Drosophila melanogaster: one gene and its partner. The protein of the gene in region 1 interacts with the protein of each later gene in a pairwise test. Each region holds a gene or a part of one and is shown in the gene's direction. Other genes may lie near its edges.

Evidence for each region.
Region 2: the proteins of Cyp4e2 (region 1) and ND-B14.7 interact in a two-hybrid assay, tested with the Drosophila melanogaster proteins (one large-scale study listed by BioGRID).

What each region holds. Positions count from the first base shown.
Region 1 is NT_033778.4:8,442,601-8,447,798, forward strand, and holds Cyp4e2 (cytochrome P450 4e2), read left to right. Parts: upstream 1-1,959; 5' UTR 1,960-2,073; intron 2,074-2,110; exon of another isoform or gene 2,111-2,127; 5' UTR 2,128-2,170; coding exon 2,171-2,330; intron 2,331-2,381; exon of another isoform or gene 2,382-2,481; intron 2,482-2,757; coding exon 2,758-2,867; intron 2,868-2,933; coding exon 2,934-3,283; intron 3,284-3,341; coding exon 3,342-3,711; intron 3,712-3,771; coding exon 3,772-3,946; intron 3,947-4,006; coding exon 4,007-4,422; 3' UTR 4,423-4,564; downstream 4,565-5,198. Other genes in the region: Cyp4ad1 (cytochrome P450 4ad1), read right to left, coding at 1-152; Cyp4e1 (cytochrome P450 4e1), read left to right, coding at 4,903-5,062. UniProt on the Drosophila melanogaster protein: May be involved in the metabolism of insect hormones and in the breakdown of synthetic insecticides.
Region 2 is NT_033778.4:21,023,238-21,026,827, forward strand, and holds ND-B14.7 (NADH dehydrogenase (ubiquinone) B14.7 subunit), read left to right. Parts: upstream 1-1,840; 5' UTR 1,841-1,923; intron 1,924-2,103; 5' UTR 2,104-2,109; coding exon 2,110-2,366; intron 2,367-2,423; coding exon 2,424-2,518; intron 2,519-2,578; coding exon 2,579-2,739; 3' UTR 2,740-2,849; downstream 2,850-3,590. Other genes in the region: RIC-3 (RIC3 acetylcholine receptor chaperone), read left to right, coding at 197-349, 425-517, 739-888, 946-1,080.

The sequences.
Region 1 (5,198 bases):
CCGAACTGGAACAGATTACCCACGAAGGGGTATGGCGTGGGTCCTGGGATCATCTCCATGATGCCAGCCATGTGGTCTATGTAGTTGAATATCCTCACTCCCTTGAACACCAAAATGGTGGCCAAAATAATGGCAATGGCTATTAGAAACATGATGCCGCCCAACTGTTCTCGCTCGCAATGCCGCACAGACTGTGGTTTGCCGTAACATTCGCAGATTAGTCGGTGACCAATTTTCGCCCGATTATGCCTTCGATAGCTTATCTGAACTTTATGCATTTTATTTTTTGTTTGTTGCTTGCAATCGATGTACTATTAACATAGTACTTTATTGCCGTCGGTAATTGATAAATATAACTATTGTGGACTACCTAGTGGGAATTGACTCACTAAACTGATGACGTGTAGGTCTAAAGGCCTTTTGGTATCGCCAGAAGATTTGGGGCCAATAAACGATTGTTAGTCGCTTCGTGATAATGAATTAGGGCGGTAGCCATAATTTTTGACACGCAATAATTATTAATAGGGACACTTTTGATTGAGGGATTAACAACGGCACGATAAGCTGTTTGTTCAACATAGTAAACACAAAATAGATAACTTTTGGAAAAGCAATCAAATTGAAAAGGTGTGTGGTAAAAAGATTGATATTAACAACTAAATACATATAAATTTAAAAAAAAATTTGATTGGTGTTTATATTTATATTTATACTTACCAGACGATCATGACTTTTCAATTTATTAATGCATTTAAAAAAATTTTAATATTAATAAGGAATTTTAATAGCTACACAGCATTGAATTTTAAAACGAATAAGTTTAAATAGTTTTTTTTTTTCAAAATAGGACAAAAAATTAAGAATTACCATATACATAAGTATAAACATTTCTTAAGTTCGTACAACTACAGAACTTATCATTTAATTGTGTATATATATATGTACATATAGCAGTCGCATTCGCACACACTCCTAGTGCGATTAGTCACTAGGTGGAATGCCGTCCAAAGTAATTTATTTGCTTTAGCAAATATAAATATAACATATATATATATAATGTAATTATACATAACAGCGTTTTCTTGAAAAATATATAGCATTGTGCTGATAACGGAAGAACAACGAACAGAATAATGCCGCTTTTTAACATTTTCTTCTCTTCCACTAGATTTATCTTCAAAGCTATTCATTTTGATGTAAATTCACAAATTAACTCGTTTCCGAAAGCATATTTTTACGAAAGAATGCATTTCCCATATGCTTTTATAATGCTTTTATCATACTACAAGTCATGATGCAGAGACAATGTAAAAAATTGGATTTCTTTTAAAACGTTTTTCGTGTTTGGCTTAAGTTCGAATTTTGCAGCGAGAATATAAAGTATATATATTCTTGATCAGTATCATGTTTTATTGACTGATATTATATCGATATAGCCATGTGCGTCTCTCAGTTCTAAAACTATCTCTATAAAACTCTTCCAAAAAGATTGCTTCTATTTACATATGTAACTCAAAACGTGACGGAGCGGAACAGAATAATCGAAAAATAAACGCACACTGTGCTGATATCATTTCTTAAATGTAAATGTAAATTTAAATTTGCAGTGGATTTTACCTTACGTCTGTGATTTCTACCAAATTTAAGTCTTGCTGCTGATAAGCTAAGAAGAGCAAGCGACTTTCTCTCTCTTCTCTTCAATTTCTGTAAGAGTAATCTTAAAAACATTTTGCAAACATAATGTGTTCATCAATTCTCCCGATTTCTCTTTCTTGTTGTGAGCGAATGTTTATCAACGTTTTGTTTTATTCCATTTTTTGCTGCCATAAAACAATATATACTGGATACAGTTTTAAAAAAAGTTAACTGTTACACATTTAAGCGCAGTCTCGAAAACTATTGGTTCTCCATCTCATCTAACGATTAATCAGGGGGCTCATCTTAAAAAACCTGATATTGATTCGGCAAGTCATGCTGAAAGCACCAAAATATATACTTATATTCGGGAGACTACAGTTGGATTAGGAAAACGGCAGATAAGGGAGCAAGCGACTGGGGAGCTGGCTGATATTGGTATCTCTCGTATTTAAACCGCCCGCCGGCCCAAATAAGCTCTCATATTTCCAGTGATTCGCGGGCTGGACGGTTGTCGTGGAACTCGCGATCGAAAATGTGGTTCGTGTTGTATATTTTTCTGGCCCTACCACTGCTGCTGGTTGCATATCTGGAGTTGAGCACATTCCGCCGGAGAAGAGTGCTTAACAAGTTCAACGGCCCCCGCGGCCTGCCGCTGATGGGAAACGCTCATCAAATGGGCAAGAATCCGTCAGGTGGGTTTTTCATAGGAGCCGGAAAAGTCGTAGCGTTAGCCACGCAGAGGACACACCTGAAATTACCCATCTCGAATAGCGTTGTGACTGAGGTAACTGCGCATCGAATCTACTCAGCGGCGAGGCTATTCAAGTAAGGTTATTTTGGGCCAGCGACTTTACGACCGGAAAACAAGGGTGTTAACTATCAGATAATGGGGCTACTGGCACTTGTAGAAATGGGCTAATCGTAGCCTAGGTCGAGTATCGCAAAAATAATGACGAGGCTTTGATTTGTGTTGTGTAATATACGATGTATGTATGTATGTATTATACTGCACTAATGAATACTGAAAATCGCGTGCCAAAAACAAGCAATGATTATCTACGGAATACCGATATTGGTACGCGATCCGCCTACTAATGGCATTTTCTCACGTCTATATAGAAATACTCGACACGGTTTTCTCCTGGTGGCATCAGTATGGAAAAGACAACTTCGTCTTTTGGATTGGAACGTATTCTAATGTATTGGTCACCAGCTCCAAGTACCTTGAAGTGAGTTACAGCGAATTTCCACCAATCATGTAATCATGTGACTCTATTATTTTCGTACTTCTTCAGTTCATACTCAGCAGTCAGACGCTGATCACAAAGTCCGACATTTATCAACTAACACACCCTTGGCTGGGATTAGGTCTCCTCACCAGTACTGGCAGCAAATGGCATAAACACCGCAAGATGATCACCCCAGCATTCCACTTCAACATCCTGCAGGACTTCCACGAGGTGATGAACGAGAACTCCACCAAGTTTATCAAGCACTTAAAGACAGTTGCTGCCGGGGACAATATATTCGACTTCCAAGAACAGGCCCACTATTTGACCCTGGATGTCATTTGCGACACAGCGATGGGTGTGTCCATCAATGCCATGGAAAACCGCAGCTCTTCCATTGTGCAGGCCTTCAAAGAGTTAGTTTCGTACCTCGTAGTCGAACTATCAGATTGCATGACTCTTGATCCTTTTCAGCATGTGCTACAACATCAACATGAGAGCCTTCCACCCGCTGAAGCGCAATGAACTGCTGTATCGTTTGGCTCCGGACTACCCGGCCTATAGCAGGACTCTAAAAACACTGCAGGACTTTACCAACGAGATCATCGCTAAGCGCATTGAAGCCCACAAATCGGGTGCAGTTTCGACCAACGCGGGAGATGAGTTCACTCGCAAGAAAATGGCCTTTTTAGACACTCTGCTGTCCTCCACTATTGATGGTCGTCCCCTGAACTCCAAGGAACTGTACGAAGAGGTCTCCACATTTATGTTTGAAGGACATGATACTACCACTTCTGGAGTGTCGTTCGCTGTCTATTTGCTTTCTAGACATCAAGATGAACAGGTTCAGTACATTGCTTGAGACGCCAAATCTTTAAATGACTAACTTCCCTTGCTATTATAGCGCAAACTATTTAAGGAGCAACGCGAAGTAATGGGTAATTCCGAACTGGGTCGCGATGCCACCTTCCAGGAAATATCCCAAATGAAGTACTTGGATCTCTTTATCAAGGAGGCCCAGCGTGTTTATCCCAGCGTGCCTTTCATTGGACGATTTACGGAGAAAGACTATGTTATAGGTAACCATTAATTAAAGCAATTTAAAGAGCTTTACATAACAGTACCATACTTGCTTATAGATGGGGATCTCGTACCCAAGGGCACCACACTGAACCTGGGTCTCGTGATGCTGGGTTATAACGAAAAGGTGTTCAAAGATCCCCACAAGTTCCGACCTGAGCGCTTTGAGCTGGAGAAACCAGGACCTTTTGAGTATGTACCCTTCAGCGCTGGACCCCGAAACTGCATTGGTCAGAAGTTCGCCCTGCTGGAGATTAAGACTGTGGTATCCAAGATCATTAGGAACTTCGAGGTGCTTCCTGCTCTGGATGAGCTCGTCTCTAAGGATGGCTATATAAGCACCACTATTGGACTCCCTGATGCCGAGAGGAAGAAGCGCGATCCATACCGTCACAAATACGACCCTATTCTTTCCGCTGTGCTGACCCTGAAATCCGAAAATGGTCTATACATTCGGCTGAAGGAAAGGCACTAAAATGTCAATTTATTGATCTCTGTTAAGTTTGGTGCTTTAATTTTGCATACCTGTGTTTTTTTAGGTATGCCGTCCCCACAGATACAATTATTAGGAAGCTGTTAATCACTTTGTCTCATACAACACATAAAACTTTTGAAACAAATCAACTCGTTTTAATCTTTGAACCATTGAGACTATGTTAATTAGCTTAAAAAATTTGAAATTATAGTTTCCACACGTGTAAGCCATTTTCAAGAGAAATGTTCATCAAGAAACTTAGTCGCAGCATATAGAAGGTCATGCTGAGTGCCCATATATTAGTTTAAAATTTGGGAGATAGTCATAGGCTGCTTCTTATGTGTGGATGTATATCCAAGCGCGAGAGACTGAGAACTGTCTGCCGCAACCGGTTGAAGTACTGACGCAGAGAGTCTTGAGGTTTCTACTCAAATCCGATTTACTCGCTGCACCGATCGGTTGTCTGTGGTCGCATTCAAAATGTGGATCGTACTGTGCGCTTTTCTTGCCCTTCCACTGTTCTTGGTGACCTATTTCGAGCTTGGACTACTGCGGCGAAAGCGAATGCTGAACAAATTCCAAGGCCCAAGTATGCTGCCTTTGGTGGGCAATGCTCATCAGATGGGAAACACTCCCACAGGTAGGTGCTCCATCTAGACAATCTCAATGTGTGGGATCAAAGTCCCCTCTAGATAACATCGCTCGATAGGTGTGACTGATCACATAACAGTTGTGTACGAATGATAACACTGAGACTAAATATACTAAAGGTCACT
Region 2 (3,590 bases), about 13 Mb from region 1:
GTTTATTAACCAAGATCCTTCGACTAATTGAGTTTTGTTGCGTTTCACCTAACCACAACGAATTGAAGTAATTAATGCGTTCGATTTCTGATTTCTTGCGTTTTGAGGCTGTATAGAATTGCTTAGCTCTCACATTCTACTGACTGTTTCGAGAGTGTCCTCTCTAACCGTATTATATCCTGTGTATCCTGTGCAGAAAAACGACAACGAAAAAACGAGGGAGCAACCACTAGACAAGCAGAACCTATCCAATGGACATGCAAGCAGCACCGACCAAAATCCGGAGCAGGAGACCGTGGCGAAGGGAGCCAGGAAACGGCGGGATCTAAGCGCTGAACAGGAACTGACGGTATGCCATTATATACCCTGTATAGCACCTTTGAGTACGTAGATCTTTGCCGTAAATAATCGAATATTGGTGCAGGTACTCGGCATGGAGTTAACAGCCAGTTGCGAGGGCGGCCACAAGTGGACTGGACGCCCTCCAACGCCTGTTTTCCGAGCGCCAAGCGAACATGTAAGTGCCACTGACGCACAGACCCCCCACCACTTTCAAGTTCTCAACTTAACTAGACTAGTTTCGACTAACTGCTACCCTAACGCTTTCAATATATCCCTACAAAAAAAAGTGATTAAACTGGGATGTTTCCTACGCTCTCAACCTCCTCTGCGCATATGTGTTGAAGCTTTTAAATATGTATATCAGAAATACTAAATAGAATCCCTCTTCGATTTCAGTCCAAATTGGAAGACAACTTGCCGGAGCCGCAGTCCATTTACTTGGAAGGCGCTTTGGCCCATGAGTCCCAGATTTTGGTTGCCGACTCCCAGATCAAACGCGAAGAAGTCTACGACTCGGAGCTCAATGGCTCAGCCGAGGAACCAGCCGTATGGATAAGCCATTCTACTAAACTATATCAATTAATTAACTTAATTAACTTGCAGATCATTCTTAGCAGCAGAATGACATTGTCATTGATTAATTTGGACGCAAATCAACAAAATGGAAATGCAGGCAAATCCGCAGTGGAAAGTCCTCTGGCTGATGACATCGAAATAATTGGACACGACGAGCAGTAGATCGATTTTTATATATATATAATTTGGCAATGAACACGACTTGATTCAGACGAAACTAACTAATTGCAAGGGCCGAGTGAAATTTCGTTGCTAATTTCGTTGAACGACGAACATTATGACTGATTGCCACGAAACAGATTTGCCAATAATTTGATATCTGATTTGTATATATATACATATTGTATGTTTTGATATCTTCGTTTTGATTTTAAAACGCCAACGTTGTGTCTACTCCCTCTAAAGTAAACCTTAAAACTTTATGCTCTTGAAAACCTTAATCATTTTCGGTCAAAACTTAAAGCCAAACTTGCATGTCTAGAAAACTCTTTAGCTCGTTTAGAAAACCGCGTCTTTGTGAACTGCATGATTTTGTGTGAATACTCTTAGTTGAAAGTCAATGCAAAACTAGTCTACCATTAAGCTAAGCGCATATGTATTTCAAGCCGCATCGTCTAATCAAAATCCGTAGCTACTTGGCAATGAAATTACCTTAAAAAAAAATCCAATCGATCGCACGTAAATCGTATGATTAAACAAATAAAGTTAGTGCCACGGCGTTTGTGAACCTAGTATAATGAATAAATTGAAAACCGAACTTGACATCCACATGTGTTTTGAATTTTAAATTAATACATAGTTATAATGAAATTTCATTCCTTAATATTTTCCAATTATAATTTTCTAAAAAATTAGTTTTTCAAACTAACAGTGCTGTAACATTTTGATTAACAGAATGCGCCTTACAGCACAAAGAGTGAATTTTTCCTTCTGCTCGTGTGTATACACTGGCGAACAGCTGTTTTTTGTCAATCTCCGCCACAATAATTACGTAAATTTCGGCAGGTTAGCAATTTTTTGTATATTCCACAGTAATTCTGCGCAACTTACCACTAGCCATGCTCCTAAGGGATAGCGTTCACAGAACAATCACTAATGTTCCTTGTGACTGGAGACACAATGGGTGTTCCGTAATTCTTACGTTTGATTGTGGCTAATGTTTTTGGACCTCCATACCTTCCGTAGCAAACCATGTCGCTGCTCCGTTCGAAATACTACGACCATCCCGATGGCGAGGATGCCTTTGGCAAGATCGTGGCCACCAACAAGTACGCGGTATCCGCCGGCGTGGCCTGGTCCATGTTCGACGTCCTGACGCTCTCCAAGCCGCAAGGATATCTGCCCACACTGGGCCGTTTCGCCTACAACACGGGTCCGCTGATGGGCATGGCCACGGCGTTCACTCTGACCACCCTGGTGGCCACAAATGCGCGCGGCAAGGACGATAAGTGAGTAAGCAGCCCACCTGTTGATGGCTATTGGTCCTAACCATGTTTGAATTGCAGAATCAACTACCTGATCGGCGGTTTTGCGGCTGGCGGCGTCTTTGGAGCCTGGAAACACAACCACGTAGCTGGTCTGTGCGCCGGCCTCTTCCTGGGTTAGTTCCCTCGCTTCCTATGAAACTAAAGCACTAGAGTTAACCACTCACTCTTTTCAGGCATCGCTGGTGTCATCAAGAAGATGTCCATTGAACAGGGCTGGGAGTTCTTCCCAAACACACCGATCAAGCAGTATGGTGGTCTGAACATTGCCGGAAACGACTGGACCATCATGGCCGATCCTCCCAAGAACTGGACCACGGAAAAGCCAAAGGAGTAAAGAAGGCGTAAAGTCTAGTTTCCTATGTTTAGTTTAATGGTGATTCGATGAGAGAAAGATTCGGCACTAACCGCTTGCCTTGCAACCGAATAAAAGCCAAGTCAGAAGTGATAATGCCAAGGCAGCTGTCGCCATTCCTCGGCTGTCCATTAACCCTATCTAATGGTGCCACAGGCTGGGCTTCGTTAGCCGTCTCGATATGCAAACGGCTCGAATGTGTCACAGAAACTTATCAACAGTTGGCGTGAATGAATGACGGCGGCCCAGGCGGTAAATCGGGGAAACCAAAGGGGCGGCAAGCGCAAAAGCAACTAACCAAAAAAAAAGGGGGGGGGGGTGGTAAACAAGTCACGCTCGCAGCTCAGCGGAGTCTTATGTGCTGCCAACAGTTTATTTCTTTATTTTCATCGGCCCATTTAAAATCCATGAATGTGCATTTACTCATGTTTTTTGTTTTGGCTCTTTTCACTTGGCGAGGTGAGTCATGCCCCAAGCATACATATGTAAGTATGCTTGGCCATTGGTAAGAGATGCCATTGTACGCATACTAATGTTGGCTCTTAGGTTCTTTTATTGGGCTTCGAAATTGGAATCCATCGATTGAATCTGTGGGCTGCCCACAGGAATTCTGGCGAAGCATCCCAACCGACCATTTGCCTTAACCTTTGCCAACCTGAGAATGTTTTCTTCTCGCTTTTTGACGATTTATTCTTACTGTTTCTTTTGCTGATTACTTTTGGCCAGATTTATGGCCATGGGGAACGAAAGTTGGTGTGCCGAGTAGAGGAGTGACCCTTAAGCTGGAGACCGTTAAGTGTGGGCTTATATAAGCGATGCTAGTGCTACAATAC